Linked DNA regions of Coturnix japonica. The protein of the gene in region 1 purifies or fractionates together with the protein of each later gene. This does not show direct contact. Links are inferred from orthologs where the notes say so. Each region holds a gene or a part of one and is shown in the gene's direction. Other genes may lie near its edges.

What was found.
Region 2: the proteins of MAK (region 1) and KIAA0556 purify together in Homo sapiens (affinity purification with mass spectrometry; 3 studies listed by BioGRID and IntAct, with this or other methods). This does not show direct contact. The link is inferred for Coturnix japonica from reciprocal best matches to the Homo sapiens genes MAK and KATNIP.

Annotation. Positions count from the first base shown.
Region 1 is NC_029517.1:65,955,450-65,972,338, reverse strand, and holds the end of MAK (serine/threonine-protein kinase MAK), read left to right. Parts: intron 1-233; coding exon 234-401; intron 402-1,641; coding exon 1,642-1,962; intron 1,963-3,404; coding exon 3,405-3,595; intron 3,596-4,143; coding exon 4,144-4,274; intron 4,275-5,024; coding exon 5,025-5,156; intron 5,157-6,942; coding exon 6,943-7,017; intron 7,018-7,920; coding exon of another isoform or gene 7,921-7,925; exon of another isoform or gene 7,926-9,917; intron 9,918-9,971; coding exon 9,972-10,100; intron 10,101-10,510; coding exon 10,511-10,662; 3' UTR 10,663-12,046; downstream 12,047-16,889. Other genes in the region: transmembrane protein 14C-like, read right to left, coding at 14,224-14,281, 14,696-14,780, 16,059-16,160, 16,322-16,397. UniProt on the Homo sapiens protein: Essential for the regulation of ciliary length and required for the long-term survival of photoreceptors. Phosphorylates FZR1 in a cell cycle-dependent manner. Plays a role in the transcriptional coactivation of AR.
Region 2 is NC_029529.1:10,577,291-10,594,179, reverse strand, and holds part of KIAA0556 (protein KIAA0556 homolog), read left to right. Parts: coding exon 1-18; intron 19-448; coding exon 449-583; intron 584-2,336; coding exon 2,337-2,622; intron 2,623-4,659; coding exon 4,660-4,809; intron 4,810-5,766; coding exon 5,767-5,930; intron 5,931-7,243; coding exon 7,244-7,353; intron 7,354-7,770; coding exon 7,771-7,885; intron 7,886-8,604; coding exon 8,605-8,811; intron 8,812-10,231; coding exon 10,232-10,369; intron 10,370-12,460; coding exon 12,461-13,337; intron 13,338-16,889. UniProt on the Homo sapiens protein: May influence the stability of microtubules (MT), possibly through interaction with the MT-severing katanin complex.

The DNA of each region.
Region 1 (16,889 bases):
GTACGCACAAAGACAGCTTCCCCTTAACCTACAGGAGAGCTCAAGAAGGATGGCCACTTGAGACTGATGCTGAATTGACTGGTGCCATAGCGATTGCAATGAAATGCTTGTTTTTCACTGTATGAGATGGGACTACACAGACCAAGCATGACTCAAGCTACAGAACATACAACTTGATGTAATACCTCAAACACACAGAGTTTTTTCTTAAACTTGTTTTTTTTTTTAAACAGAGTGACTGGCCAGAAGGATACCACCTCTCCTCAGCCATGAATTTCCGTTTCCCACAGTGTGTCCCTATAAGTTTAAAAACTCTCATCCCTAATGCAAGCAGTGAAGCCATACAGCTTATGAGTGATATGCTGAACTGGAATCCAAAGAAGAGACCTACGGCAAGTCAGGTCTGAGCATCTGGATTATTAAGGATAAGACTGTATCATCTTGTGTTGGCAAAAATGGATAGTGACAGAAATAGAACTTGATTGTCATAATTCTGAAGGCCAGAGTAGGCTTTTGAACACTTCAGTGGGAGATACTGAAAGCAAGGCTTTGTTATTGTAAAGCTGCAGATGGAATGCAGTAGGGAGAGTGCAGGATAATTCTTTTTTTTTTTCTCTAGGAAATGGGCCATACAATGTACTGAGTGATAAGGGAAGAACTTTGATAAGAACATATCAGTAGGTCACTAAGGTCATGGTTTCTTTTTCTAGGTTAATTTTAGAAAATCAGGTATTTCAAAGATATACACATCCTGCTTCTTTTTTCTTGAGAATGTACACCTAATAGAATTCTACTTAGAAGGTATGAGAGGAGAGTGCAGTTGGGAAACAAAAGGAAGGTAATGGGTTTATCATTGGTGGACATAACGAAAGTGATTCAGAAGTGGTTAAGCAGGTGGTGCAAAGCAGAGCAACCATGTCTGTCTACTTTATAAAGCATATATATTGTTACAGTCACTGAGATCAAACTGTTGCGTGGTGCTATACATCTCTATGCAGAATGCTGTGTGACAACAAGTAACCAGGTTCTGCCTGAGTGAGCTGGCAAGGAAGCAGCTGCAGCAGTTGTGCAATCCTTAACCAAAAGGGAAAGTTTAATGCATGTTCATAGAAGAGGGTACAAAGGCAGTGATTTTTCAAGAACAGCTGAGGCAAAAACTTTCTTTGAGAACTAGCAAAGAGTAGGCATTGACCCAGGAGTGGCAGCAAGAACTTGTTCCACAGGAATAGGAAGAACTGGTGTATTTGTCATGTATGTAAGATAGTTAGCAGGGAAGCATGCAATAGAGAACCAACAATTATTTACTATAGTTGAAACAACCTGTTTTTAAGTTGTAGTTTGTTACTGTGTGAACATGGAATGGAGTTAAATGTAAAATGCACGTAAAAACACAGACTTCACCAAACATAGAAGGGAAGAAAAAGGCTTCTATAACATGCACAGGTGGATCTATCTTACTAAATTATATGGTGGAGAGAGCTGAGAGGTGGCTAGATACATTTACACGCAAACTTCTTCTGCATCTGTCTTTCTTTACTATGATAGAGATTACTCAAATGCTTCAGGAACATGCTCATATCCTCAAAGAAGTTGCCAAAGTCAACTTTTTGAAGTACAGTTAGTATGTTATTTCTTCTCTAGGCACTGAAGTACCCATACTTTCAAGTTGGCCAAGTTTTAGGACCTCCTCCACAATATTTGGAGAAGCAGACTCCTATTAAACCAGTGCAGCCAACAGAACCAAAGCCAACTTTACCCAAACTGGAAGCTGTATCCAAGCCAGAACCTTTGTCTTCACCTGATGAACCTGACAAAACACAGCCACAGTCCCTGTCAAAGGCCAACCACCAGCCTCTCCAGCAAATTCAGTTGCCTCAGAATACAGCTAACCAGCAAATACCAAAACAACAGCAGCCACAGGCACAGCCATTTTTTCCAGCTATCAGTAAAGACTCATCCATGGTAAGTTGTCTGTTGGGGTAGTTTACCCTGGTTTTGTGAAACTTACATATCAGGCTGATTCAATGGCAGTGCTTGTGATTCTCAGAGAGGTCTCAAGGTGTTCATCAGAGATTTTGGATGAAATCTTACTCCTCCTGTACTTTGGCCTTGACAATAATTGTTCGTGAATGTGCATACCACCCAAAAGCAATGACATGAATACGGCATGATTGTGAAACTAGGAATGTCTGTCTCTGGGGAGATAGACATTATTGCATTTTGGAGTTGAATATCTGGTTGCCACTCAATACATGCCCCTAGAAAATTTGCAGGTAATGTATTTATGATAACTGAACATGGAGTCACAAATACATATTACTGATTTTAAAGCAATTTTGAAACCAATTCTCAATTTCCTTCATCAAAATGGAAAGCAAGACTAGATATTTTTTCTCTGTTCACAGGACTGTATTTAGCCAATGTACCAAAACACTTAAGAATTATTTGTCTTAACTGGAGTTAGCACTGCACTGTGCCCTTTCCTTGCTCTGGTTTCATCTGTAAGAGCATTAGCAGCGCACTGTGGTGGCTGCTGAATGATGGGCAAATGCTTGGGGCTTGGCCAGGCTGCTCAGCAGGGAAGAGCTGCCACCATGATGGCATGGGGTTGGCGTAGATGCACTGTGAGCTGTGCTGGGCCATGGGTTGGACATACCTGGGTTCCTTGTAACAACAATCTGTGTTCTTTTATAATAACTTTTACTAATGCATTGTTGCGGTAATGTGGTTATAATAACAATCATTCACTAAGCTTTGAGAAACAATTTGCAAAAACATTGGTTAGTATACACAAAAAAAAAAAGGTAAGAACTTTCAATGCCTAGAGCAGGAAAATACCTGAGCAAGCTACCTTTAGTCATTTGTTTCCTTGATTACCACCTGCTGGCTACCAGTGAATAGATGCAAACTGAGCAATACTTTGAATCACATGGACCTTGCAATTTCTAAGCTCATAATAATCTTAAAAGTAAGATTTTTAGCTTCTGACAATTACTGTTCCACTGGCAAATTCAGCAAGATACCAGAAACAGAGGCTGAGTGCTGAACTGGGCCTGTAAGCAGAATGTTAACTGAATACATCAGCTAGATTTGAGCCATCTGAAGCTGGCCGTCCAAAAGGGCTGCGCTCAAAATACCTACCAACTTTGTTATATATTTTGTACTTAAAATCATTAAGGTTATGACCAAAAAAAGGCACAACGCAATGGCTTATATATATATTGAAGTGTATATATATATATATATATATATATCCTTCAATGTTCTTAAGTGGTAGTAGTGAACTATATGTAAAATATCAAGTTTTAGAATTTAATCTTTCTTAGAATTTAAACTTTTAATTAAAGTTGTATTTTTTATCTTTTTTTTTTTATTATTATTATTTATTTTTATATTTGAACTAGAAACAAGCGGCTAGTGGCCCCCAGAATGGCACAGTGGGTCCTAAAAGTTGCAGGAGACGATGGGGTCAGACTTTGATAAAGGCTGTGGACAGCTGGGATGAATTGGATGATGCTGAATTTGGAATGTCATGCTCAAAGAAGCCTAGCATTGCACTGTTAAAAGAAAAGAAAAACAAGGAATGTCATTTTAGGTAAGTCCTGTAATTCTAAAATCACTTGTTAACAAAGGTTTTTGAATACACAGTGGCCAGTAGATTTATAGATTGGTTAAAACAGGTCTACTAAAATTTAACTCACTGAAACTCTGCAATAGTGCAAAGGGCTTTGTGAACAGGTCGGCTTTGAGTGCAGTATTGATGTAGCACCAGTAACATCTGTACATTCTATCTATAACATAGGTGTCTATCTTGTTTTTAAGAAACAGTGATTTACTGAAGTAGTACTTGATTTCCTGTGTCAGTGAGGCTAGGGAAAGTTCTGCCACAGTTGCTTAGTTGCCTTTAATTCAACATAACATATACACATCTTTTTTTTCTTCCCCCCCCCCCCCTTTCATATTCTCATGTAAAACTCTTATGATGTATGAGATTTAGCTGTTGCTTTCTGTGGAAATAAAGTCTACTGATGAAAGCAGGATAAGAAAAGAGCGCTGCATCCTTAAGCCAGCCTCAGCTCATGGCATTCTAAGGTGGACTTGTTGGTTACACAGCCTGAACATTTTGATTTATTTCTTTTTCAGTGTGCCAGAACCAAAAGCTTCTCATTGTATCCAGCCGGGAGTGGAAAATAAAGTTCTGATGAGAAACGATTCTGGAAGAACCAATACATCAGCAAAACAGTACTATCTAAAACAATCAAGATATCTGCCAGGTAAGGGGAAAAGTCAACATGTCATGGAAAATGCAAACAGCCGACTATCTATATACAGTACATTTAAACTTCAGATCTCACACTGGATAATTCTCTTTAGCACAGTGATGATTTCTAAGTACGAAATCACTTCTTCAGCGCTTAATAGGATGCCCTAAGACTCAACAGTTTGCCCAAAAGAGGGGACAAAAGCTTTCCTATTTAAAAATGACAAATAGGAAGTTAATCTACATACCTGACATTTTTATGCATGCTCATAATACTTCTGTTTTTATTAAGTTTCAATGAGAATGGCATAGTAGTTTAAAAAATATTTTGCACTTAAGAGAATAATAGTTCCAAGAAGCATATTTTTTATTTATCGGTATTAATATAGTTAATTAATAGTAACCACTAGATATATAAGCTGCTTTCATGCTGTGTAATCCCATTAACTCACTAATGCTCATAACATGCTGAAGTAACAAGAACTTTTGTCCTCCTGAAGAAATAGTTTATTTTTAGCCTTGAGAACCTTTATTTTCAATCAGTTTCTTTCATTTCTGCTAACTGTCTGAGAGCGATAAATATCAGGTTATGATTTTATAGACACCAAGTAGATGCAGTAAAACTACTTGAGAAGTTCTCTTGAATGCATAAAAACAACAGTTCTCAACTGAAAGTTAGATACATTAATTTGAGAAATATAACCTAATCAATGGATATCGTTCTTTGGAAATTAATAACATTTGCCATAATTTGTTTTCTAAGGCGTAAATCCTAAGACCGTCTCCTTAGTAGCAGTCAATAAAGAAGGATCTCATGGAAACTGGAACAACCAGCTGTTTTCCAAGCCATTGGCACACGTTGGAGAAGGATTGCCTTTCAACAGAAATAATACAGGTAGAAGCCTAATAAAAGCTGTCACCTTGTTTTTCATCATACTTTAATTAAGACAATAAAGTTTAACTTTTATTGTCAGCTTTAGCTTATAGGAAAACTTTATTTTTCTTCATTTAAATACAGACTCAAAATAACATTTTCTTAGATAAGCTATGTATTTTGCCTTCAGAGCATAAAGAAAGTACAGTTTAGCTCTTAGAATAAAGTTCTGTCAAGATAAATTTTGTCTGCAATCCTCTTAAACTTATTATCTTACTATGATTATTTAAGCAAATAGCTTAATCTCACTACTGCCTGGTCAGTGTGATGCGGAACACTGTAAAACAGCAGTCTCACATATGAAAACAAACAAGGTGTTGGGTGCTAAGCCCATGTGATCAAAATACTACCTAATGTATTTAGCAGATGAGAAGTCCCCTTACTGCAAGTCCCTTGCAGAAAGTAAGGTGCTTTTTATACTACCTTTTGTGGAAAATGCTGTTATCAGCATTCTATAGAGTGAAGGCTAAAGCTTAAACAAGTTAAATGGCTTATCTAAGATTTCACTACGGAAAGCATAGGACTTGAGACTAAAATCTACCTTCTGACCACTGCTGGTCCCATCACCCTCTGATAGGAGATCACCCTAACAGCTTTGAAGCCAGCATGAGTCACTCCCAACATTGATGCTAATGACCATCTGTAACAGAAATGCTAAGTCAGGGCCTGAAGCAGTGATTGAGCACCTGGTGGGAAGGCAGGGCCAACCCAGGGGAGCTCAGGTGCAAGCAATGAGCTTGACCAGAAGGGGTGGAGCCAGGATCCACGCCTTCCCAAACCTCATTTAAAGATTAGCAGCGGAGGTGAGGGTATCTCATTGGAGATCTCTGCCTACCTGAGTTTTTGTAAGGGTAAGCAGCTTTTTTTTCCCCTTTGTTTCTGTATTCATGGCTGCTGTATCTGGTCTTATCCTTTTTTTGCTTTAGATTAGGACTGTGCCACCCTGCTACTGTTGCTGTACTTTCCATCACATTATAACGTTACACTGCCTGACCTAATATGTTTGTACAAGATCTTTAGAAGGCTTGTTTACTTGCAGCTGCTGCATGCCTTTTTAACAGAACTTTAGTAGCCATCCAGTAGTGTTATCAAAACATTATTATCCTTTTGGAAGTCAGGTGAAGTGTAAGTTGTTCATCCAAAATGATGGAGAGGATTTAAGAAATGGAAAGGTAACAGGATCTGCTGGAGTGATGCAATAGGACAGACTGATAGTTGGACCACAGATCAGAGAAATATAGTGCATGTATGATGTGTGTAGTCCTTTTTCAAACTGACAGGATTGAAAGCTGACACTGTGCTGCTTGGTGTTTAAATAACTATGTTTAGTTTCTTCAGGTGCTTTTATTTTTTCCATACCCACAATGCTGCTCTGGGGTGGAATAAGAACAGATAGTTACAAATGCTTTATTTGTAAGGAACGGTAAAGCTATGATCCATTGACTTAGCAAGTACACCTGAATGCTTAAACTTGTGATTTAGGCTTTTGTGACTTAATGTGACTGCGTTGTTGGTGAACTACTTACTTTTTTTAGCTACTTTCTAATGAACCAAAATGTAGTTTAAGTAACACTTCCTGCTTGTAAAAACAAAGGAGTATGAGATTATAAATACTTCAGTGTCAGCTATTCTTTCTTGATCTGCATTTCCTCATTTCTTTGGTATCACCTAACCAGATTCATCTACTTTCTCTGTATAAAATTCTGTCTTTCCATCTTTTTCTCTCTTTTGTTCTCCTTATCTACAGAAGAGAACTTAATTACACCCATTGAAAAACTATCATGCAAAGAAAGATTGAATGAAAAATTAGAGGATCCAAAAGGTAATTTATAGCCATTATAACCTGGCTCTTTGCACATTTCATATTTGTTTTGCATTGTTTCCAAAAAAATACACCTATGGTGAGGATTCCAAAAAGATCATATTCTTTGTTTTCAGTTGTAATGTGTTTTGTCAAACTTTGCTTTCTTTGTTGTGCCTGCTTTTAGTCAAAGCAGGGTCCACTCACCTATCAGTTAAGCTGTAGCAACTCCTCCAGCAGCAGGGAAATAACAGAGGTCTATCTCAGTTACCACAGTGTAACACAGTGTGAAAAACAGCTTCCACCTTGAATTTTATTCTTTGGAGTAGTCACCTGGATGAACTCAAGTAAAAGTTATCCACATAAGTAAGGTCTATTTGTTTCACTTCTGAATCTGCATCTAAATGGTGTTATGCTGAAGGAGGGCAAGTCATTTCCCATTACATGTAGATTAACTCATTCAGGCTAACCTGAATTGTGTCAGTACGCTCTTTGAAATCTGAGAGAATGAAGTGATCACAAGTATGCTTTCAAGTTCCTTTTAAATGACATCTGAATGTTCCATGAAGAGACTTCATAACTTTTCTTCTGGAGAAGAACTGATCCTAAAGGAGAGACACGTGTATCTCTGAAGGACTGCTCACTCATAGTATTGTTTGCCACTTGCACCACCGACTGCATTCTCATTCTTTGCTAATTACACTGAGTTTACAGTACTGTGATTGCAGAGATTTAGGTCATTAACCTCAGTGTAAACAGGTGAAAACTCAGGTTTCCAGGCAGTTGTGTTTAGATATAAACACACTCCTCACTACAAGCATTGTAAAGCTGGAATGCTTCACCTATTCCTCCATTTCTGGCAGCTGAGGTGTGTACTGTATCCCTTTGCAACTACTTGTAGTTTGTTCTCAACTTACTGCCCAGCTTGAACGCTTCAATGGCTTCATCCCTTGAGAAGAGTCAGGCATGCACTGAGGTATACTGCCCAGGCCATGCTTAAGCTTGCTGGCACTGTGTTTGTGTACACATCTGCTGCTGGACCTTCTTGATGCCTGATGGACTTCTACAGCAAGAACTTCTGTTCTGCATAGCAGTTGCCAGAGGTAAGGAACAACCTACTGTGTACTTCTCAATGCGTGTTTTTTAAATGTTAGCAGTCATAATTTTGCACTGAATTTCCTATTGTTCTTCTATCCAAGGAAAAGACAGTTCCTTCAGACCTCTCAGTTTCACCCAGACTGTTCCTCTGGCTGTGCTTATCCATTTTCTGCTGAAAAGCTCATGAAGAACATCAAAAATGAAGAGGTAAGAGGAAGAGAAAAATGGTTGAGAAATTTTTAACAGGTATTTTTGCAGAGCTGTAGATAAGAAACAGGCAGAATAAGTCGTTTTGAGGTTACATTTAGGCCTGCCATGTTCTTACTTCTAGGCCTCAGAATGTTAAGATATCCTCTGACAGATCAGAATTATACCTTGTGAAGTGTTCCTAGTGAAAAGATTAGGAAGTAGGGACAAATAAATGCATGCATTTGTATGCAGACAAGGGAATGTAACGCTAAAACTGTTGCTTTTTGTTTTTCAGGCAAATCTGTGAAAAAGAAGAACTTGTGACTCTAAGGATGTTATTATTTGAGTACTTTATTAAAGCTTTATTTTTCATCAGGACTTGTGTGTCATCCTTTACTCCACTGGAGACTGGCATCAGCTGTAGAAAGGGAAGCCACCTGGAGTCTCAGTTGTTGACAGGACTTTGGGGATATGGGTAAATCTTCAGCTGAATGCTTACTCTTAGTTCCCAAAGAGGAGGTATGTGATGACCCAACACAGCTTGTAACAAGCTCAGCATACATTTGTGGTTTGTAGATAACCAATTCTGTATCTTATGAATCCACTGCACTAGTTCTGACATTAGCACTGACGACTGAAGGTGTTAGTGTGAGGAATACTTTGGGATTGCAATGGGGCTGGTGATTTGGAAAAAGAACAAACTCTGTCAAATCACACACTGTATATTTTACTAACTACTGTTGGAACCATCCTGAAGGTTAAGATGATTCAAGTGTTCATAAGTGGTAAAGGTCAAACTATCAGGTATGGCTGTAGTTCACAAAAATTTAACGTTACTTGATATTGAAGCAAAATAAAGGCCTTCTCTTCAAATGTTGTGCCATCACACAGGTTTTTAAGACTGTCTGTGCAATGACAAGTATGGAGAAGATAAATAGGAAATCTTCTTGGAGCAGTCTAAGTATCTTAATTGTTTCCACACCACTGTACAGTAATTTCAGTAACAGTTCTGTGTGTAAATACACAATATTTCTCAGCTTCCAAATGACAGAACGGAAAGGGTGATTATGTCAATATTCCCAAGGCAACACTGCCTTAAAGAAAGTTGGGGTAAAAGCCAAGCAAAACAAAATATCAGGCTTCAAAAGAGGGGAACCAGGTCTTTTGTAGCAGGCCTTTAACCAGGGAACTGGCTAAGTCAGCTTCTAGTAGTGTACCACCACTTAACACAAGAGGAGTTTTGGTTCCATTTTAGATCTAAGTCAAATATGTTGAGCACAAGAGCATGTTGACTTTCAAATATGTAAGTGCTTAAACCTGCTTCCAGTAAATAAAAGGTAAGACCCTGTGTTGTTCTAAAACTCAAGGATATGTAAAACTCTTGCTATGTAATCTAAGTTTAATGGAAATATTAATTAACTGTCATACCACTCTATCTTCATCCCTGCTGCACTATAGGAGTGGATGTACTGGAGTATACATACTTGTAGAGTTTGTTAGGCCTTTGAAAAGGTCCAATTAAGATGCAAGTGAAAGGATATCTACTTCTTACCCCCAGACAAGCACTGAGGCAGAACAATACTCATTAGTCGTGTGATCATTCAACTATGTTTTGAAATGACTACCAAAAAAAATGCAGATTTTATGAATGCAACTAAAAATATTACAGGAGGTTTTAATATCAACAGGAAATTCTGACTTTGTGGGAGGTGCTACTTACAACCCATCAGGAGGATACATCCCTTCCTTTCATAAGAAAGAAGTTGGATCAGCTGGACAACGGATACAACTAGCTCCTATTGGTCCATCTGTATCTGGTAAGATACATCTTAGCATACACATGTAAGTTTTTCTCAACACTAGGATGGAAAGTAGATATGTTCAGGTTTAAGCAACATCAACATCAGAGTTAAATGGGTTTAGAGGCATTTTCTTGACAGAGACTTCCTTGTAGCATGTGGCAGTCCTGAGTCTTTATAATGCTATTTAATGTGATTGAATGATGTTGAACCATGCCTATAGTGGTCTAAGAAACTTCAAAAAAGGTAAATACCTCCCCCTTAGGTGACTCAGTAAATTCACAAATGATGTTACAGATATAGCACATGCACTGTATTAAAATGAATTGCTCTGTTCTTTACTAGCCCTATTGGGTTGCTCTGTACCTTTGGTATTATTATTTTAACTACTGTAGTTACCATTAATTCTAAGTTCTTGTTCCTTTCAGATTATTCCTGGAAAACCAAAGCTGCTCGTGCTCAGTTAGCAGGTCCTACTTACAATTCAGCAAAAAACATGAATATTTTAACTCACGCACCAACAGTTCAGCCAGTACATGGAAGAACAGACTGGATGGCTAAATATGGAGGACACAGATAGAAAATGCCATCCTGTGTAGGTATTGTGTGAGCTTTGTTCAGTTCTCCTGCACAAGAAGCCTGAAATGCCTCTTTGCTCTACTCATTCCTAAGACTTTGCAATAGTAAAGGTAAGAACAACCAGCCAACCTTGTGTTCTACTACCTATGCACAAAAAATGAAGTCACATAACGTTTAAAATACTGGCTATGAAGTGGGATTTCATAAAGTATTGTACAACACATCTTGCCAAATGTATTTAAAAGTAATGAGAAGTAGATTTCACCTGACATTTCTCTATAGAGGACTTCCTATCAACAGAAAACAACTTAGAACTATCTTAGAAAACAACTGCTAGAGTACTTTGCCCTATGCAAAGTCCACCATTGACATAAGCTGCTTTCATGTATGCAAACAGCTTGAACTGGGGCTAAAGCAGAGCAGCACCAGGCTCCCAGCTGATACTCTGGTTCCTTCCTGGAAACATGACAGTGAAAGCACAGCCTGGGCTTTGTGAAGAACACCAGCATCCTACAAAGATTTCAGAACTCACCTGTACCTAAAGAGTTGCTCAGGGTCTGCAGTGTATAAATGCAATGAGAACTCCTTTGTAGCAGGACATCAACGCTATGCTAACAAACTGCACATTGAAGATCTGAAAATGTGTGGCAGTAGCAACACTGGAAAGCAGCTAAGCAAGTACTGAATGCTGCAGTTACCTCACCAAACTGTAGTGAAGCTTAAACCGAGGCTCTACTGTTAGAATTATCTTATGTCCATTTTCAGTTGATCTGCAGGGATTCACATTTCCCTTGCCAGAGGTGTATCACAGCACTGTCTTAAGGAATCCAAATATCTGCAGTCTCATCAGCTGTTCTAATGGTGAATTAGCCTAAAAAGGCATAAGCAGTTGGTAAGCATCTTACTGGGTGATGACACTACTAAGCTACAGGCTTCTCTGCAACTTAAAGAGGTCACATGAATTATGTGAGGGAGGAAATAAAGCTGCTTTTCAAAGAGGTTACATTCTGCTTTAGATCTTGAAGGCCAGCTTAAGTACCCAACAACACACACAAGCTTTAATAATGCAATACCTCAATGTTTATATGCTTGTTTCATACTTTTCCTTGATACCTATGCTAAGTTTTAGAGTAATATCTTGCAAAGGATTTCCCAATGTACAATAAATATATTTTTTTTATGTTGATCTAGGCTACTTCTGTTCACAGCTGGGTTTAGAATAGATGTTTTGGACTTAGTAGTATTAAATCTGACATTTTAAAATACAAAACGAGTACGTTCTTTAAAGGTGTGAAGCTAGTAGTTATTACTTTAGGCACTGTAAAAAGAGAAGTAGTTGTATGATTGTTTTAACTGCATATAAAATTTTCAGTTTCTGTTGTTGACCTGATGTGCCACAATACTTGGGCTATATTGCTTATTAGAAGTCAGTTTAAACTGAAGCACTAGCATTACTTTAATACTAGAGGTGATTTATAGAGATCTGGTTAGTAACACACTAAAAAATTGAGTTCAATTACTATTGGTTTTGTCTCAGGTACCTGTCACTCTACTAGTACTAAGAGATACTTATATGCCACTTAAGCATATCTGTAACTGCCTATGGCAATGAAAACCACCCTCATGCTTTCTAAAATAGTTCTGGTTGAGAGCTTTACAAAGATGCTGCCAGGACCATGAATGCAGCTTCCCCTTAGCTCTCACTACATATGCTCGAGGCCAGCATTAACCCAAGTTGTGTGGCATGGGACCAGGCTGCCTGTTGGCAGCTTGGTTCCATAGCTGCAGTGCAGCCAGGACCCCTGCTCTTGGTCCTTGGTGCAGCTCTGCTTGTGGCCAGCCACATCCCTGCTGCCTGGAACCCAACTTGCTGATGTTGTGGCTCACCTCTGATACTGCCTCATTACTGCGACAGACCAGTGTCAGCAGCCCTCAGCTACTGCTATTGTCTTGACCTGCATTACTTCCTCAGGTAGCGTGAGACCACGCAGTTCTCAGTGAGGTAAATGTGCTGCCTGTTTTGCTCCTGGATCACTTTCTCCTGTGAGGAAACCAGCTGCTACCTGACAGGTGATTTTCCCCATCTGTGTCCAACAACTAAAATTATCTAACGAGAAGGGAAGAAAAAGAGGGAGAAAAAGTAAAAAGGAAACAAACCACAAGATGTCACACTCCTGCTGAGTGGCCAAATGTTTAGAGAACTCTGAGCAAATGTGGCTCCTGAGCCTTACTACTCCAACAGATCAACCCACCTGCTTCAGTCTCTTACAGTATCAGCCATCAAAACAAAGGCAGAAGAAATCGAAGCTCAGGTCCTGTGCAAAAACAGGCATGAGGTAACCAGACCAGAAAAGGGATACGTTACCATCCATGTGTAGCTCCCAGGATTATTTCTGCACCCTAAGTTTATATTTAGAATGAGTTCAGGCAACAGAGCACTTCTCAGAGAAACATCTGAGCCCTTCAGTCTTTAAATAAACTTTCAGAGTGTCTTTCAAGTCTGAAATAGAAGATTTCTCTCAAAAATCAAAATTAGATTTTAATGTAATACTAGTTTTCTTATATAGACTGCATGCTGCTTCTTCTGGCTCCCACCTGCCCAGTTCACTTTATGAGTCCCTGTCGTGTCCAGGGAATGGAACAGGGATAACTTAGTCAATTCATGCTCACAGATACATCCAGCTGCCCTACAGAAAAGGCACTAAGTGGGTCAGTCCAGATGAATGATTTAATAAAACTAGTTGTATAGAAGGCAAGTTTGTCATAATAATACATTGGCTGGTTTATTTAAAGTAACATTTTAATTCTCGTTAAATGCAAGTGCTACGACTGCAATTCAGCCTTACCTAATGAAGCGTATTTTTTATTTTTCTTACAAAAAATAGTCTCTAGAAGTCAAATTGATTACATTCAGTTGGGCACTTTTGGTTATAAATAATCTCAAGTAACAGGTTTACTTTCGTGGCATTACAGTAGAAAATCAACCCCCTGCTCCATGATTGTTTTTAGGCCAAGGTTCTAACACAGTGCTAGAAAAACAAAGTCCCTGACTGACAACATGATGACCAGATATGGTAGCAGGGAAGTGGGAGGGGAAGGTGACAAAAAGCTCATATGTTATAGGAAATACTAATGATAAGTTGGCAATTTAGAATCATCTATGTTGGAAAAGACCTCCAAGATCATCTAGTCCAACCTGAGTCCCATTGTTTCAGCAGTCTAATGAGTTTTAGAAGGACAAGTCCAGATGTATATGTAAGCTTCATTCCTGCAACTGTCTGCCCGCAAGGGACAAGAGGCTTTTACATACAGGAAAAAGCAGGACCAGAAGCTGAACTAATCCTACACTCATTTTCCTGCTTCATAGTGCAGCTGTTGAGACAAATACCACTTTGGAAGACATAACAAGGGCTCTCAATTTCTCTCATTTAAAGAGATATGCATAAGAATATGAAAAACAGTGCATAGACAGCAGTGTCTGTTATGTTTTTTATATAGTGCGTTCAGGCAGCGGCAGTTGCAGGCTTCTTAGTCACGTATCTTCAGGTGGTGTGATGTTCACTTATGGCCCGAGTGGCTTTTCCATCATCATCAAGCCAAGTCGTCCAACCATCAGTAAACTGTTAAACAGAATATTTGTTAGAAGAAAGGAAGAAGGAAAGAAGAAACAAAAGGGAAGGATGGGGGGAAATTCTCAAAGAACACCACAGAAGAAAACATTCCAATTCATTTTGATAGGGAGAAGATTTCATTTTTCCACACAACTTACCATGTAATATTTAAAAGACTGGATCACAGAATGACCAAGGTTGGTAAAAACCTCCTCCAAGATGATCCAGACCAACTGTCTACTTACCACCCATATTTCTCACTAAACCACATCCCTCAGTGCAACATTTAAATGTTTCTTGAACAATATATGCAATATATTCTTGAGATATATATGTTCTTGAACTATATGCAATATAATCAGTGTGTAAGTTAAATAAAACACTTATTCAAAAAATACAGACAATAACACAAGATGTGAGTACCTGGCACCAGCAACGATCCCAGTCATTGGTTTCCTGGTGTTGTAATATCTCATCCCCATGATAGCAGACAAGGTTCCAGATGCCACTGATAAAAGAGAAGCCCAGTCAGAATGGTTGCAGGGAAGTAGGTCTGAAGAGCCAGCACAGCACTACAATGCTGCTATGCACCTACCAGTCCCAACAGGTCTATATGTCTCGCCTCCTTTCAAAAGCAACTATTCTACCTCAGCTGCAAATCACAGGAGGATGCAGAAAATAAAATCATGGACTGATCATAGAATGGTTTGGGTTGGAAGGGGCCTCTAAGAACATCCAGTTCCAGCCCCCTGCTATAGGCAGGGACACCTTCCACCAGACCAGGTTGTTCAAAGCCCCATCCAGCCTGGCCTTGAATGCTTCAAGGGAAAGAAGCATTCACAACCTCTCTGGGCAACCTGTTCCAGTGTCTCACACCCTCACACCCTCTGTGTCCAAAAATCAGGAAGTACAGAGGCAACTTATCTCTCTCACTACACTGACTAAAAACTGGTGCAGGAGATGCATGGCCATTCCTACTACACACCACAAACAGAAGCTGTGCTTCATGTAGAGCCATGTGTTGCACCTCATTTTCTACTCACCACACAGTCCTCTTTAGTGTTTGCCAGGGATCGCACAAAACCCTTCAGCACACTGCATGACCTGCTGTTTGTAAGCAGCCTTAAATCCCTCTAACACCAGAATGCTAATAATGCTTTGATGTGGTTGCAGAGCTGTAAGAGGTCAGCCTAGAGCACACAGGTGTGACCAGCTCCTCACCAGCACTGGCCTGACTAGTTACTGAAGCCCTGAAGCAACAGAAGCTCTCTTAGGTTCACCTGATCTCTTCCAGTATTTCCCAACACCTTCCACTACTGTTTTATGTTGTTTTGCTTCCCTTAAAAGGTCTGCTGCAAGCTAAGCCCACAGCTTCTTGTCCCATCTATTGTAAGCAACAGAAGTGGGACAAGCAATAGAGAACAGCTCATTCCCTCCTTTATTTTGTAGATTTCACACTCCCTTCCACAGTGTACATTTTCTTATGCTCACAACGCTCCTTTGCAGCTGGTTTTCCACACGAGCCCCCTGTGCCTGAATTAATTTAACACAGTGCCTCACCTGGCAGTGGGGATACACAGCTGTCACCCAGCGTAGCCACAAGAGACAACACAATAAGGAGCTGGTGGTGTTCTGGCACAAATACTTCCCTACTATGAGCAGGCAGCCCTCGTATACAGTGCTTGTATACATAAAGGGACACAAGTCAGTTGGAACAGGCTACACTAACCGGCACTGCTCGAACTGCCTACAGTCAGGCTTAATACTTAAGGCACCAAGCACTTACCAAGGGAAAGCCATATGTTTTTCGGGTCTTTGGACTGCTGGTACGCACCCAGTCCTGCCAGGCCACCAAAGAAAAGGCCGGCAGAAAGGGACGGGACGCTGCCTTCAAGAAAGAAAGCAAGAAACATCACAGCTCGTATTTAGTTTTCAACTAATAAGATACTTCGCAGCCCTGCCTCCGCTCAAGCAGGCAGCCAGCCCCTTTAAAGGGCAGAACCCCACACTCCAAACCCGACCCTTCCCCAGCACAAACAGCGGTCCTACCTGCCTTGACGTAGCCCATGATGCCCCCGTAGGCCAAAAGCGCCGCATACCCGAAGCCGACCCAGTCGTACTCCATCTGCGGTGCCCCTCCGCCGGCGGCTGGTAGTTGTAATGGTAAAGGGGCCGTTGGCCACCGGCCCGCACTGACCTTGTCGCCGCGCTTCCCGGCGTGCTGCGGGGCGGAGCGGCGCCTCACGGAGTTCCGGCCTCGGGCGGTGCTACCGGCCGAGTCTGTTAGGGCCGCTGATCTGGGTGTATTTCATGGGCTTGGCTGCCCGCAAGTTCTATTTTTCCCCCTCTCACCTCCCTGTTGTTAAAGTGAGGAAGCTGCTGAGGCAGGCGGTATGCCCCAAAGAACAGTCGCACAATGAGAACTAAAGGGTTTATTTGCTGAACAACAGTAACGCCGTTAAAGGACGCTTGAAGTTAACAGTGGTTTAATGAAGGTGGTAGTTAACTTGATGCTCAGTGACTGACCCCTCTGCAACTTTCCTAGTATGCTGAAGGGTTAAATAGACTTAGGGAGGAGAATCAGATCAGCTATTTGACAGCCTCCCTCTAGCGGCTG
Region 2 (16,889 bases), on another chromosome or scaffold:
CGCAAAGGATGGCTTCAGGTAAGAAACAGCTTGAAGTAAAGCATCTTTGAACTGTTTCTTATGACACACTTGTAACTCCTCTTGTTTGTTGCCCATGTGTTTGTTTTCCATTAGTACAGAGGTATTTCAAGGAGGCACCCAAGTGTGCCAGTTTCCTGAGCAAACTTTAGAGCCTTCCCCTTGAGGCTATTCTGCAAACACTTCTTTATATTCCTGTGTTTTAAGGGGTTTAACTGTATCTGCTTTGTTGATTGCTATGTCCCTTTTCCTATCTTTTTTTCTCCCCACTCTGATGCCAGACGTAAGCCATGTGCTGGATGTGATCTCCTCCATGGAACAGCTGAGGAAGAGATTGCTTGACTTAGCTATTATGGGAAATATGTTTATTGATTATTGTATTGCTGATAGCAAGAAAAAAACCAACAAATTATTTTGCATGTTTTAACAGAAATCTGTGGAGATTAAAACAGAAAGAGGAACCAAACTCTGCATTAAACCTCCTCTTGAGTACTCTGAGGATTTTGAACCTTATGAAAGTGTGAGCATGGAGAGAAATAGTGATGATCCTCTCCATTACTCTCAGGTACAATTAGCAGTTGCTGATGAATTTCAAGTGTGCTTCCCTAGCTTGTGTTTTCAGAGGTTCAATATCAGCTTTCATTTTGATGTATCCCATGGATTATTGTTACTGGTTAAGTTGTTTGTACTAAATCAACTATCATCCTAATTAGCAAACAATTAAATCCATTACCACTGTGGCCGCCTTCTCCTTCCACTACCCCCTTGCCTTTCCTCTCTGTGTGCCCTGGCCCAGCACATGCTGTCATGGAAAATGAGCAACTGTTTTTAGTCCAGAAATTGCTAAGCTGACTATATTTGGAATGGGAAGTAACACAGTATTTAAGAAGTGAAAGTTAATTTTATGAACTGGGAATTCAAAGCTCCTGTAACAGAAGATTTGAATAGAGCAAGTTGCATTGTAAAAGCTCCCTAATCTCTCGATGTTTTTAAACCTTTATATTTAAGTTAGACATGTCTTAAATACATTGGTGGAGCGTATGTGTATTCCATGTGCTTGTATTCCAGTGGAATGATAGAAAAGCAGGCTATTTCCATTATCCTGCATTTCTACATTTTCTGTATTGCTTTTGGGCTTATGATTTTACTTGCCACTCTGCAAAGCCGTAACTTGCTTTCAGTGACAAGTTTTTATAATTCTTTGTGTAAGTAACAAGCTTTTAAATTTAATATTGAGACAAAACCCAGTTTTTTTTATATCCCAGCTGGAAATATGTTTGGCATTCCTGAAGCTGAACTTTGTTCTCTGAACTGTCTTACAATGCAGCTGCTGTGATGTTTTAAGCTTAAAAGCAAACTCATAAGATTCCCTGTCAAATAGAAATATTAGCTTTGCCTGTCGTTAAGACATGCTCAGTATCAAGCTTGAGGTTGTTTGTAGACCCTTTCTTGAACCTGAATTTGCTTTCTCTTTGTAGTATGTTTCTGTCAACGTGGTTTTCCTAACAAGGCTAATCTGTAACAGGAGAGCAGCGTGCAGCTTTCATTACACACTAAATGTACGCTGTCACAGTTCATTTGTGTCTAAGATAGCTCTGAGTTTTATTTTACTCCTGCAGTTTGCTTACTTCTCTCAAAGTGGTATCAGCAACAGTAGGAAAAATAGATTTAGGACAGACAAGATCTTTTCCTTTGACAGTTATAAAAATGAAAGGCTCTCCAGCATCTTCTATGTGGTTGTGGCATTTGCTGAGTGAAGCTGGGCAGTTTATTCAGTAGTAAATTAATAGTTGAATTTTTAGCATGAAATCTTGTTACAACGGGTCTAATTAAATTTCTTCACAACCTGGAAGCTCAATTCACTGGACTGTAAGTCTTTTCTACTGTTGTTTTTTGCTCTTCAAGTATAGATGTCTACAGGAGCATTGCCATACGTTAAGTTACGTACAAAGGAGTTATTGTTGCAGAATCACAGAGTAGTTGATGGTGAAAAGGACCTCAGGGTCCCTCTGCTCCCAGCAGGGTGCCCACATCCAGGCAGATCTTGAAGACCTCCAGGGAGGGGATCCCACAGCCTGTGGGCAGCCTGTGCCAAGGCTCCTTCACCTCCTTATTTCTTAGTCTATAGAATTTTCCTGCAAGGGCTTCTAATGAGAAGAAACACAGGAGATGTAGGATGTTTTTTCTTTAAACGTCCTCACCAGGGAAGTGAAAATATAACATGGAAATCTGAGTATTTTTAGCACCATCTGATATCTCAGAGGAAAAGGCAGCCACGTGGGTTTATTTTAAAATAAATATTTGAGTTTTCCTGACAGATTTGTTTGTCTGAATTGTGTCAGAAGCTGAAAAGCAGTTTGCAACTCAGTGTAGAAGAGGAAAAGATGGAAGAAGAATCTTCTAGTGAGGATTATGACTTCATTGAAGAGGAATTGTTTTCAGAACCATCTCCTACTGAAGAAACAATTACAAGCTTTGCAAGCCTTCAGTTGCAGAGCAGTGGATCTATGCAGAAAGAAGCTTCTGAAAGCCAGGATACTGGAAGATGCTCTAGCCTGGTTTCTGGTGCCTCTACTGCATTGGAGTACAAGCAGGATCAAAGTAGTAAGCCTCTGTTGTTAAAGTTCTTTGATATATCTTCAAAGCAATGCTCTCAAAGATAATCAGTACAAATCTGAGCCATAATTTGCAATACCAATGTTCACAGTTATGTGCTGGAAAGGTGTCATACCTGGATAATGTCCTTGCTTCTTTTTAATAATCGTGCATTCTAATCACCTCCTTCCTTGGTAAAGAGCAAACCAAGTTTGTGTTTTTGCCTTTGGGTAGACTTCTGACCAGGGCAGCCCTTTTACTGTATGTCCTTATAGAAATAATTCTTCTTAAAGTACATTTGGAATTTAGTAAGCTACAAGAAACAACCTTCTTGTAGTCCCAGGGTCTATGTCAGGCCTGAATATAATTAAATTCACGAGTACAACATTGTTTGTATACATGGATAGGCATCCTATGGTTTCTTTATGTATAAATACAAAAAATTATTGCCATGGGATGTTTAGAAGTTCAAATACATTAATGCCTTAATTAGTAGATGTTACAAAGTACTAGCTAGCAAGTTCATTTTTAGTTTGAATTAAATGCAGACTTCAGCCTCGTGAAGAATACGCTGTATATTTCATATTTTCCCTGTGCTTCTGCTGCTCACTGCTGTCAGAGAAAAGATCTTACCATAGCTGGTTATTTGTTCTGACCCATTAGGGATGCTGTTATACCCAAGGGAGCTGTACACTGGGATTTGCTATGCTGTTTGCTAGGAGACAATTGAGGTTGTAGGCACATACAGCTTCTCAGTGTTGACAGCTACATCAGCTTTCAGCTGGGGCTCCAGCTTCCTGGGCTAGCTGTTCCCTCAAGAATTTAGTAACAAGTTTCAACCCCTCTGATAGGCCCCAGGTGTTCAGTTTTCAGGTTTGAGATGGGGAAAAAATAACCACCATCCAACTGGTATCTGTATTATTTTGTATTGATAGTAATATGCAGGGAGATTTAACTGGTTTTGACAGATAAATGTGCTTGCTTCTGATACAGAAAGCAGAAGCAGAACACTGCTGACTGTGTGGTAGACAGGCTTTAGGTCCAGCTTTGGTGTAATCACATAAACCACAGTGAATGACTCAGTCACCCAGCCTGAACTTATACAGCACTAGACCTAGCACTTCTGTGGATGACTTCTGGGTACTGTTTGGCTTTACTCAATGGTATTTCAGTTCTTCTCAGCTACCTTTTCCACTGATTAAAAATCATAGTTTCTCACTCAGAAATTCATATCTTCTATTGCATCCTCGTTAACGCCGATTGTTTCACTTGATGGTTCTTTGTTCTTGTTAGCACAGATATTTGCTTTCTACTGCAGCAGAAAAATAGCTCCTTAGCAATGCCACCTAAAACTTGTGCTGGTGTCTAACTCCTGTCTTCACTCATTTTCTCTGTAATCTCTCTTCGTTTCTGCTATCCGACATCCTTTTCTCAGGTTGGCTTTCCTTCTGAAACTCCTTTGGCTTGTCTCAGAGAAACAACATCAGGCTAAGCTTTTTCTTTTCCCCTGGCATTGTATCATAGTGAGGTTAGGCTTACTATAGCTGCTTCTTTCTTCATCTGTCATGTAATTAAGGGAGTAAGGGATGTGGTGGCAGTGAGAACGTGAGTACGTGGCTTATCCCCTCACCCCCAGAAGTAAGAGCAGATAAGTACTTCTATGAACTGAATGATCATTTCCTTTTAGTCTATGCCTCAGGAATAATTTTGACACAACTGCATTAACGAGTGACTCAGGGTTTCTTGCTTATTTTTGCTCTTCTGGTCAGCAGTGCTTGGAAATACCTGCCCCTGTTAAGATACATTGGTCTAATGACCTGACCTACCTTATGGTGATGTATTTCATCGCTAAGTTGGTTGAGGCTATGCATATGAATAGAATATAGAACTGCATCAGTAAAAGGAAAGGAAGATGGTGGTTATCATTTTACCTATGCCAGCATAATTAAAGTGGCAAAACGTTAGCATTTAAGGTACAATAATAATTCCTGTCTTGCTACTTCTGATGATCTCTGAAGTTGATTTTTCTGTTTCCTTATCTTACAGAATTGAAGCCAGTGCGAGTTCTTTCAGCCAAAAGAAAAGATAATGCTGAAATGTACATTCCTGTCAGACCAGTTGTGGTAAAAAATAAAATCAATCGACCGCTCTCTGCTGAGTCCTTGCAGCCAGACAGGCAGGAAAGAATTTGCCATAGTAAGGAATATGAATATATGTCAGTAAAGAAGATGTTAATGATTTTGTTTTCCAATCTGATTCATGTGTAATTTCATCTGTCATTATAATATTTTTTTTAACCTTTTATTATTATTTTTTTAGCACTTCAAGAATTCAGACTTAAGTAGGATTGTGAGGAAAAAATCCAGAGCTTGCACACTTGAGTCTGTGCTGTGTCTTTGTTAACTTTCTTCTCTTTTTGCTTCTATACCATAAGATTTCCTCCTCTCGTTTTGGTCCTTATATTTGCTCCTTTCCATTTCTCTGATGGATTTCTGTTCTTTATAGCATTAGCAGAAGTGTGTCTTAAGATCAGGAATTCATGCTTAGTTGAAAGCTTTGAACACAATGCATCTGTAGAAAGAAAGGAACTGAAATTTCCCATGGCCAAAGTTGATGCTTTTAGATTTTAAGTCTCCTCTCCTTTAAACTTTTTTCCAGGCTGTGATGCTTCTGTTTTTCTGTCATGTTTGGGAAGATGGGTGCAAGTTCATAAGGTCATTTATCTTATGCTGCAAGTATCAATGTCTGAGTCTCTTGATTTTTACCAGAAGAATCTTGGGATTTCCCAGAATAGCTGAATACTCCAGTTACATTGAAAAATGTTGGTGGGCTGAAATTATATGTACTTTTATTTCAATTAGCTGTTGCAAAGCATTCCCAGTAAACGTCTGAAAAAATCAACTACATTTTTAATGCATAAAAATCCCATTTGCCGTTTTTCAGTTTTGCTTCTTTTGTGATGCAGTTCCATCTGTTATTTAGGGTAGATGGAAAAACAAATTGGAGCAGTTTAACCTTGCTTTAGTTCGTTACTGTTTAGTTAGTGTAGCACTGTACTAGTAACAGAATTGGATGTTTCAGATGTGTGCTGTTGAATATTCCATGCTTGTTTGTCTGTACAAATGGCTATTCCTTTGTGCTTTTTCATGGCAGGACCATTAAGTCGACCAGAAAGACCACTTTCAGCAGCTCGAAAGAATGAGTGTGAAAAGGACTCTGAACTCTCTGTTTCAGCTGTGGTTAAAGCTATGCAAATTGAAAATGAAGCCTTGCAGAGAGATTTGCAAAGCCAGTCAGTTTCCACAAGCCCTCAAAAGGTATGGCAAGAAAGAAAAACAAGTGTTTCTTCAATAAGGAGAAAAGAGGGTTTCCTTGAACACGAATTATAATAGTTAATTCTTACACAATTGTAGAATAAACAGTGATATCTCAATTGTAATTGGATTTGTATTACTTCCATAGGGTGTGGGTGTTTTTTAAATCTGGCTCCTTGGATACCACCCCACAGCTTTCTCTTGCTTTCAGGGATCACTGAGCAACTGATAGCTCACTCGTGTGATATGTCTACACAGTCAAGTGCTCAGCTGTAGGCCCATTTGAGCCATTTTCATTCTGAAAGCTTCCTAAACAAGATATGTGATTTCCTTGCCAATATTTCCTACCATCTTACTATATTTGTTAATACGAGCACAGTTTCTTGTTAATAATACATGCTCAGCATGTGCAGTGTGTGTATATCTTTTATCTCCAATAAGCACATTTAAAAGCAATTAAAAACTTTATAAACAAGGAAATTAAAAAAGTCTACTCCCTTCAGGTCAGGCCATTGTTCCCTTTTAAGTTAAAAATCGGATTTGTGCAGATGTGCTTAGAAGGTGGGATGCAAACAGGGAGAGAATTTGTTTTGTCATAAAAAATGACAAGACTTGTCCTCTGTTGGTTTTTATCCCTTACGTAATTGAATTACAGAATGGCTTGGGTTGGAAGGGACCTTGAGGATCATCAAACTCCACTGCTCCCACAGCAGGCATGGTCACCAACCTCTACATTTAATAACAGACCAGGTTGCCCAGGGCCCCATCCAAACTGGCCCTGAACACCTCCTGTGTTCAATTGCTATGACAGTTCTGTATTTCCAAAAACTCAAGAATATCTGATTTTATTTTAATAAAACTGAGATTTTTTTGGGGGGGGGGTTAAAAATCTTCATCCTCCTTCCTTGGAGGAGGGGAATGAGAAAGTCCAGGCAGAACTGTGTCAATGCCTTGGCTAGCTCTGTGTCCTACAAAAACCATAATATTTTAGGCAAATTCAAAACATGTGGTACATATACATAGTGTATTTTAATATATATGTGTGTGTATATATAGTTATATTCTGTATACACATATAGTTGTTACAGAATGCTTTTATTTTACCCTTTGTTCCACATAGGAGATCAAGCTCAGCCCTTTCGTTGCAAATTAAGACCAATTCTGCTTAACTCTGTTCATAGAGATACAGATTAACTAAGGTTAGCAGAGCCCAGAAGTTAGCCTGAACTCATCTATTCTGGAGGTGCAGACTGATCTCACTGGTATATAGAAAATGATGTGAATGAAATGTTTGTGGTTTTTTCTTTCTTACTTAGATGTTCTCTGTTTCATCTGTTCTCTCTGCAATGGTTGAACCTTCAGAAAAAAACCAGGCAAAGACTGCTGTCACAAAAGATGTAGAGAGCACTTGTCCTTTTGGAAACAGGTATATCTATTTCCTCTCTAACTTCCTATCTAAGGGGATATTTTTTCCATACTGAGCACCACTTTGTCCAATGGCCTTAAATGCCCAAGGGCAAGTATTGGCTAATATTTTTGAGAGGGCTCTAGCCTTGGACTAGTAGCTGTTAATCAGGGAACTGCCAATAGTTTATATTACCTCTGCTCATATTATTTTGAATTACTTTCTCAAACTGCCTCATATCTAGCAGAGAACTGGAGTGTGGTCTTTTAAACAGACTGTGTTTATCTGGTGTGGGATGTTGTGACAGCTGTTGTTCAACATGGGGTACCTAAGTTGTTCTGTGGGGTGTATGGGTTCATTCTGTCACCTTCACACCAACAAAACCATTTCTCAAAAATGGAAGAATTAAAAGGAAATACAAAAGAACATGTGTTTCAGACAACAGGAGAAACTTCTGGAATTTCTTCAGGAGACTGAGAGCACTTCTACCTGTGATAATGGCATACTCCTATCTGATGAAAAATTGGAAGCAGATTGTGTTTTGACAGAGAAGGTCTGTATATATATGCGCTATAACTCCAAGTACTATTGAAATACAAATGTATTGAATGGTCAGCATTACCTTGTGGCAGGGTAAGAGAATTTATCACCTTCATAGATTACAGCCTTCTTGAAGATGTAAGAAAGCAAGTCTGTCTTATAGGTAGGTTCTTTATACGATTTAATTCTTGTAGTCTTTGAAGAAGAACAGAACATAATGGGACCTCTTTAGCCCATAATTACTGCTACAGCTGTTTCTGTATTACATGCTTCTTGATTGAAGACCTGTTTTAGTTTAGTGGTTTCTGCTAATTCATGCTTTTAATACACCTAAACAATTTTCATATTAAAACAGGTGCTTATTTGTTAGTAAGGATAAAGATCCTTTATTAATCATCAAGGTGAATCATCTAGTGTGTGAGAAAGCCCAGATGTTTCAGCAAAAGTTGATTTCAGAGATCTTATGTAAATTCCCTCTCCTACTTGTTTCCTTGTGGTCTGATTCTCTTGAACTTCTTATTGGCAAAGAGATGTAAAAGTTGTGTTGCTGTTTCTGCCCTTTGGGCTCTTGCATGCTGTGGGAGCCAAGACATCAAATATCAGGAAGCTTGTGTTCTGAATTTACAGGCTTTTTTCTTCTGAATTGACATCACTGAAGTCTTAACAGTCTTTATATTGCTGCAGATTTTATTGTTGTCACTTATGTGTATACTGTATTTCACTTGGGTCCAGATGACAACAAACGTGGAAGTACGTGATGCCATTTATGTGACTGTGGAGCTTCTTTCTAACTGGGGAAATCCAATAAACATTGGCTTGAGAGAGGTGGAATTCTTTGATTTATACAACAAAAAGATATTTGTGTCACCTCACGATGTGGATGTTCGAAATGCTGACTACCCAGGGGATTTGTGCTGCTTGGTCAATAAGAACTTGCATGTAAGATGACAGTCCTGGATATGTCAACTTCTGTTTATAATGTTTACTATTCCATTACAAAGTTTCTTGTTTGGTTGCATGATTGCATTTTGAATTAACAAGTCCAGTTTTCACATCCAAGATGTTTCTATTCAGTTAAAGTGTTTTATGATTTGATTAATTTGCTTGACTTTGTTAACTGAGCAACTGGAGACAGGTGTGTTTAACTGTGTTTTTTATGTGTTAATACTTTGATATTATCTTGGGTGAAGGAACACATTTTTTAGGCTGTTGTAATTATGGTATTTGCAGGAAAAGAAATCACAGCCTTAAGGATAGGGAATTTCACATTCTCAAAGTATGTCTGCTGTTAATTTAATTAGTTCTTGTGATCTGAAGGCATAGGAGCATCGCTGCTACCTTCTTGTTTCAGATGCTTAGTGTAAGTCTCAGTAAACTCAAGACTGGAATTCACTTCTTTGCATCTGTTCCCTTGTTATGCTTTTACCTAGAGAAGGACCATGGAAGAATGAGTAGACAGGTTGATTTCAACAAAAGACAAACTTTATGTACACTGTGTATGTTCTGTGAATCCTTGAAAATAGAATGAGTGGAAATGTATCTACTAATCTGAGATCACCAAAACGTTGCTTGCATGTGTATTTGTTTTGCCCTCATTTATTTCTGTGATTGGCTAACATTTGGTGTCAAGTATACTAACATTCAATGTTTTGATTCCAAAACTCCTTTCTTCTCTGACATGTATTTCTACTTTTTTTCCTCTAAACATGAATAGACAGCACTTTTTAGCAATGTCCTGAGCTTACTTGGTACTTTAAACTGTCTATGCCTACCATAACCAATTGTCTGTAAAATCTGTGTTCAAAGCTCTATTCTATCATGAATCCTAAACGTAGCTCTAAGGAATAGATCTGCAAGTGAAATTAGTTGTCTGTAAAGACTGCAGGAGATAGAGGCGGTGAAATAAAATTGGTAAGATTTCCCTTGTTAGATGGTAAGATAGGAGCATAAGCACTCTTAAGAAATTGTGAAATGATTAGACAGTGTCCATTCTGCTCAGTGATCCCCTTTAGCACTTGCAAAGCTGATTAATTTGATTAAAATAAACTGGGCTTGCATTGACCCTGCAGTTACAAAGCATGGCAGACTGCCTGTCATTTGTGAGCGTGCAGATGTCTCTCTGGGATAGCAAGCAGCTGACCTTTATCTAATTGTCAGGTTGTGAGCTGTCTTCCAGGCTGGAGAGTCAGATTTATTGTTTGGGAATGAGGTTAATGCTTTGCTTTTAATATAGCTGATTTTATTATATGATTACTTTTCTAATTGATTTTTTTTTTTTCCTGTGGGATGGTAAATCAATCAAAATATCCTGTTTCAGAGGAAAGAGGATTGGTGACAATCTGCTTGTATGTGTTTTTAGACCAGGAAGGAATGCGTCCCTTGGATGTGCCCTTTCCATCCACCCATCCAACTTTACTTTATTATCCGCAATCCCACCCGATCCCATGACTTTGGTGTATCCAAGATCAAGATTTGGAATTACAGCAGAACAAGTAGTGTAAGTAATCTTTTCTCACCTCCTTTTGTATGTGTGCTCTCCTTTTTCTATACAAACTGCAGTTTGATCTTTACTCTGAAGTATAAAATAAAAGTAGGTGTTTTCTCTGATAAAATATGGAGCGTGGAGGTGCCCATGTCTACTGTACATTTCTGCTTCTGTTGTTGATTGTTTGAGGTAGATGTAAATGTTAACCTGTTCATAGGCAGTGTTAACATTTATGTATGTTTTGCAAGCCTAATAAAAGGGTTGCATCTTCTGTCAGGTAGTCCTCTACTGAGAAATAAAGAGACAGCAGGGTAAGTGCATTTTAGTGTTCAGCATTTGTAGTTTTTATCACTATATATTTAAACAAAAATGCTTGGTTGCTTGTGTATATAGGTATAAACAAGCTGAATGTTGATCAGTTCAAGAGTTATTATTTTAATTAAGAAGTCTACTAACTACGTGTACATAAAATAACCAGTGATCTGATGTTACTAGAGAGACATCTGATGGCAGATGGTCTCCTGTTTGTGTGTTTGAATGTTACCATGGAAATTATTCTTGTTTGTACACTGCAGTGTTGAGGAGGAAAAAAAAAATAAAAACAACAACCCAGGTACTGAATCCAAGAGGATTTGCTGCTCTGGATTATCAATAAGAGGCTTTAACTCTCTGGTTTTCTTCTCATCTATGTTCTTATATAAGCATATATGGTAATTTATACATACAGAAATGACTGTGGAATGAGCAGCTTAAAGAAGTTTACTATAACATGATGTATATTCATTTTCTGGAGTTGTAACAGCTTTTTACTATTAAAATGTAGGCTACATAATTTTTCATCACAGTTAGAGGCTGTGAAAGGGACTACTGGTTTTGGAGGTAATAGTATGAATTTGTTACTGAGCCTATTGAGTGTAATATGGGAAATATGCAGGAACATATTTGCGTATTGCAAGGCAATGATTTTTTTAATAAACCTCTATAAAGCAAATTGTAAGATCCATTAGGAGCATACCTCACACTTCAGCAGCAGTCCTGCAGTACACATGGTCTAAATATACATCATTCGTATGTGAAAGAATAATACAAAGCAGTTCTGCATAATTCTATAATTTTCATGAGGAAATATTGTCTGAGAAATAACAAAAACTAAAATGTGATTAGATATGTTTTATTTCTGCTAATGTTAATCTTGAGCTGTATTGTATCCTCTTTTGGGGTACTCGTTTTTGCCAAACCTTACCTCAGAAACCACATAAGGGAGAGGTGCCCATCTACTACTTCAAAAAAACAGGTGGAAGAATAATTCAGGCCACTATTTGTGTTCAGTTGAAAATATTTGAGCTTTAGATTTTGAATTGGAAAGTAGAAAAAAAATATTTTTGGAGGTTTTCTTCCTCAAGTTTGATCACTAAGCAACTCAAAGCTCAGAAGGGTAGAACAGAGTATATTAATTCCAGGTTCAAGTGAATAATAAAATCAGGCTTTCAATGGGTGCCACAGAAAACAATCTTATGGAGCTGTCTGACATAAAGGCCTTTTATTTATAAGGCTAGTTAAGTGTTTAAATAGGCTATCAAGGCATAAAGTTGTCTTATTTGAAAACTATTAAAAACAGATTTATTTGCTAAGGTATTGGTTATTTTACTTCCTTAAGTGCTAGGAGGTGAATGAGAATTTTAATATCCTTTCCAGCCTTGTATTTCTGTAAGTCCTTAAATCAGGTGGGTAACTGTTCACTCTGTAGTGTACGTGATAAATAAGTGGTGATTCTTAAAGACACTGAAGCAAAATCTACCTCTGGAATTTACATCTTGATCCAGAATAACTATATTTAACCTAGGTGTCTTTGCTCAAGCTTTTCTAAATGTGTTTATTTCCTAGATGTCAGCCAGAATGATTTATAGTCATGTGTAGCAGCATGGTTGATCTTCTTAAATACATTCTTAAAAATCCCAAAGTAGTTTATACTTATTTGAACTTTTCATTTAAGAAGTGGTTATAAGTGTGTTACTGATATGAGCTTTTTATTGTTTTCATCAGAACAGTGATATCTAATATTTGAACAATTTATTTGAAATATCCATACCTTTGTTTTTCCAGGACCTTGATGTTGGAGCAAAGAAGGTGAAATTATATGTCGATGAGAACCTTGTATTTGATGGTGAATTGGAAAGAGCCTGTGGAGATGTCATTGACCTTGGCACTACGATTGACCTTGCAGAATGCAAGCAGGATATAACCTGTTCTTCATATGAAAGTAAAGAAGAAAATGCAACTGCAGTGACAGACGAAGAAGTGGACCTGCATTTTGAATGCTTACAGACAAACCATACACCAATAAACTCAGAATCTCTGCTAGAAGAAAATCATCTTGAGGATAAGGTGAACACAGTCAACTTGACTAAGGAAAACTTATCCGAGTTAGAGGATGATCTAGAAGTGTTGCCATCTCACATTTGTATAAAAGATACAAAAGAAAGTGTGACAGTAGGAGAGGTTATTGATCGTGATCAGTCTGATGATGAGCTTCCTTTGAGTGGGCAAATGGAAAAACTTACAGGACGAAAATTGTCTGATTCTGCAAGTGCAATTCCTTCTTGGTTACACTCATCTTCCCAAGGAAGAGAGAATCTTCAAGATAGTTCTGGTAAGCAGAAGCCTTCCTGGCTTGCTTCAGAACATTGTTTAGGCTTGAAATGTCAAGCAGACTCGGATGTAATAAAAAAATTCCCTGATCTGACTAATGAAGATGCCAAATGTTACAGAAATGAGCTGGGAAGATTGAGTAGTAGGAATGCAAATGGTGATGTGAGATCTCAAATGCTGACCAAAAAGGACAGTGATGTTGGCTTAGATATTTCAGAGCAACTTTCTAACAAGCATGGCTGCAGCACAGAGTACCCAGCAAGTGGAAGGAGAAGTGTAAGAAAGCAGGGATTAAACACCATAAATCTTAAAAGGGATTCAGCACTCAAAGGTAAGAGCTCATAATAGCAACCTTAGTGTAAGGGCTGGTGTTTTTTTATTTTGCAGAAGCACAAAATCATTTTGGTTGGAAGATACCTCTTGACACCATCTTGTTACCCCCCCCTTGCTTAAACAGTGAGCTGAAACAGATTATCCAGAACTGTGTTGGTGGTTCAGTGTTTAACTGCCCACACTGTAAAGGCTCTTTCCTATTTTAACATTGAGTTTCATAGTTTTTAATTTGTTGCTGAAGAGAACCTGGCTCCATCGTGTTCATTCACTCCCACAAGGTATTTATACATGTCAATAAAATGCCCCTGAGCTTTTCTGGGCTGAAGATTGTAGTTAGGTTTCTGTCTTTCTCAGTGAGAATATATGCTGTCTACAGGAGCTTGTGCTATTACTATTCCTTTCATTTCCTTTCTCCATGCATCTCTCTCCTTTTTACGTGTGCAATACAGAAATCAGATACAGAGAGAATCAAGAATCCATTCAGATAATTTAATCTGAGAATTGTGATCCAGAAGTCCAAGAATGTATCAACTTTGGGTATCATGTGCTGTCTCTCATTCTTGGGACTCTAGAAGCAGAATGTCTGGTGAAGTCATATTGAAAGGAGGAAAAATGTTTTGCTAGAAACATGTTTTGCTATGTAAGCAGGAAACAGGTTATTTTTCTTTTAACTGACTTTCCAGAGATAGCTGCAGCTTTCTGTGTTTGCAGTTTTGCTCAGGTGTGTATTTAAAGAAGGGGATAAAAAAAAACCACTGATTTTTGTTGTTGTTCTCAGTCTCAGTGTTTTAACCAAGCTTATATTCCTGGATTCTCAGTGACATGGGCAGGTATGCTATATATAGGCTAATCCATGAACCATGTTATGCAGCTCTATATTTGATGGAGCTGATAGGCCTAAATCTTTCATTTCTTTGTTACTGTGCTGTTCATCTCATTCTAGGGTATGTTTTATCTTTTCAATATCCTTTACTTAATGCAAGATCTGATTTAAAGGAGTTAAAACCTACTTGTAATGGAAGCTCTTAAAACATATAATTTAACAGAGGATCCTGTAACAATGTAGAATGAGAGATTTCCCTGCATTAAAAGATTTGTCTGTATCTCAAGATGGCACAGAAAGCCCCTCGCACTGTATTATGTTCTCTTTTAATCTTCGTTTTGATGCCTAAAATAAGTGGAAAACTAATACTGAGGAATGACAGGAAAACCCTCAACATGTGGCTGTCCCAGGGGAAAATCCCATCTTGCAACTTTTGTTCTCCCTACTGTATGTGTGGGATAAAAGTCATTTCCAGAGAGCATTAACAGTAGCGAAATGGCTTTACATGTTTCCTTAAGAGTGGTGAATTTCAACTCTCACAGGGCTATGGCAACTTCAGTTTCCCAACAGAAGATTGGAAATAGAAGAGATTGCTGCACGCACACATACACAACATCACAGCTCTTCTTTGGTCGTTCAATGAGGAATAATGAGAAAAATGGAAATTAGAAATAGCACATGCTGGCACAGTTGGCTTGAGTTACTGTTGCTATAAAAACATACATTTTTATCTTCAGTAACTGCTTCAATGTGCAAAGCAAATGATAAAAGTATGTTGATAAAATTTGCGAATAACATAATTTGGGGTGTTATGAGTTGAGAGGATTGAAGAACTGCACAGCAAGATGAACTTGAGGACTGCAGTAATAGGGGTGGAATGCAGTGCAGAAGTGCTGCTTGCGAGGTCATTTGGGGACTAATAGAGAATTAAGTTGTAAGCTGAGTAATCATCAGTTGCAAATGATTGAGGAAGAGAAGGATCCTGGCTGAGTAGCTGATCACAGATTGACTATGAAGTGCTGGTGTGACGCAGGCATGATTATAGTGAGGCACTCGAAGGATGTATCAGTATAGGCTTTTCTGCTAGTTAGGGAAATGTTAATATCTCAGCATAGGCACTTGTGAGACTTCAGTTGGAAAACTGCTGTTCTGATCATCCGTTTTCAGGAAAGTTGATTGCAAAGTGGAACAGAAGAGAGCATTTAAAATGATTTGGGAAATGAAGCGTGTGATTGCAGCTTGGAAAGATGATTGCTATTTTTAGCTGCAGGGAATAGGCATGAGATTAATACAACAGAGGAGAGAAGAGGAAAGATGTTGTTTTCAAGCTTGTGTTGCCCCCAGAATGTAGTTTACTGAAGTTCTGAGAGGAATTGCATGGTGTGTATTGCTGGCGGAAGTAGGACACGGGATTTGGTGATTGAAGGCACTTGTCCAAAGCTCACAAGGGAGATGCATGTTAGTGGGGTTGTTATTTCTGGACTCCTTTGGATGACATCCATCACACAATCAGGCATGCAGAAGATTAGAGATGCCTGACATCTGCAAGTGGATATTCTTTATCAAAGTTGATGGCAGGAATTCTGTGTCATGTTCACAAGGTTCCAATACAAGCAATATATTTTAGGTGCTAAAAGGAATGGTAGACCCTGTAGATCTTCAGCCATTAACCTCTGCTTTCTTTTCAGAACTCCTCTTTTCCTGGTGTTGCTCTTTAATATAGCCAACAGACTTATTAACCTCGCATTGAATATCGCTCCCTTTGAACTCTTATAGAAGCTGTGATCTCTGCAGTGCTTGGAGTGCTTAATGTTAAAAAAAAGAGCCCCAAAACAAACCAGGACAAGCCAATAGATATAAAATACACTTCTATAGTTCCCTATCCTGAAATTTTCAAGCTTTGCGATTTCAAACTGGTTAAGAAATGTAGGGTATCTTTTAAGTTCTGAGAATCTGGGAAGAACTGTTTGTGATCACCCAGCCCAGGAGTAGATGTACAGGTATAGATTTCAACAAGAAAAAGGGATTTGTAAATGATCAGTGTTCTCTGAATTCACTCTCTAAAATTTGCTTCCCATTTGTAGTTCACTTGTGGCATGGGGGAGGGTGGCCAGGTTGGTCTCCAGGCTTTCATGCTTATGCATATGGAACACAATGCTCTTTCAGGTAGTTTCCCATCTGCTTTAGTATTCTTATTTTTAACCTCAGTTGTCCCCTGTGTAAATGATTATTGGCCATAGACAGATTAGGAACATTGCCTCTTTCCCAGTGATTCCAAAAAACAAAGTTAAAAATTAGTGTTAAAAAGTCTTCTGGGAAAACGTTATTTTGCATTTTATTGCAATTGGCATTTATTCTTGAAAACCATTTGTTTTACTGCACGCTGAAGGACTTTGTACAGAAATGAAATCTAGCCCATGGGCCTGTAATTGTTCAGTACTACATTTGCTTTTCTTCATTTATTTGTTAAATAAATAAATACAGAAACGACAACTTCATTGAAAATCATAATTGTCTGCCCTCAGTTGTGCTGAGATGGAAGTTAAGCAGCTCCCTGGTGGGTTCACAAGGAGAGCACTGCTCCTACATGGCTCCACTGTGTTGCCCCCATCATATTCCTATGAAATCCATGGTTATCCCCCATCTGCACCTTACTGTTGTTGAAGGTCTTAAATTAAGAGGTTTGCATAATGGTGAGTTTCTTGAAGTCAAGAATTGCCAGTCTAA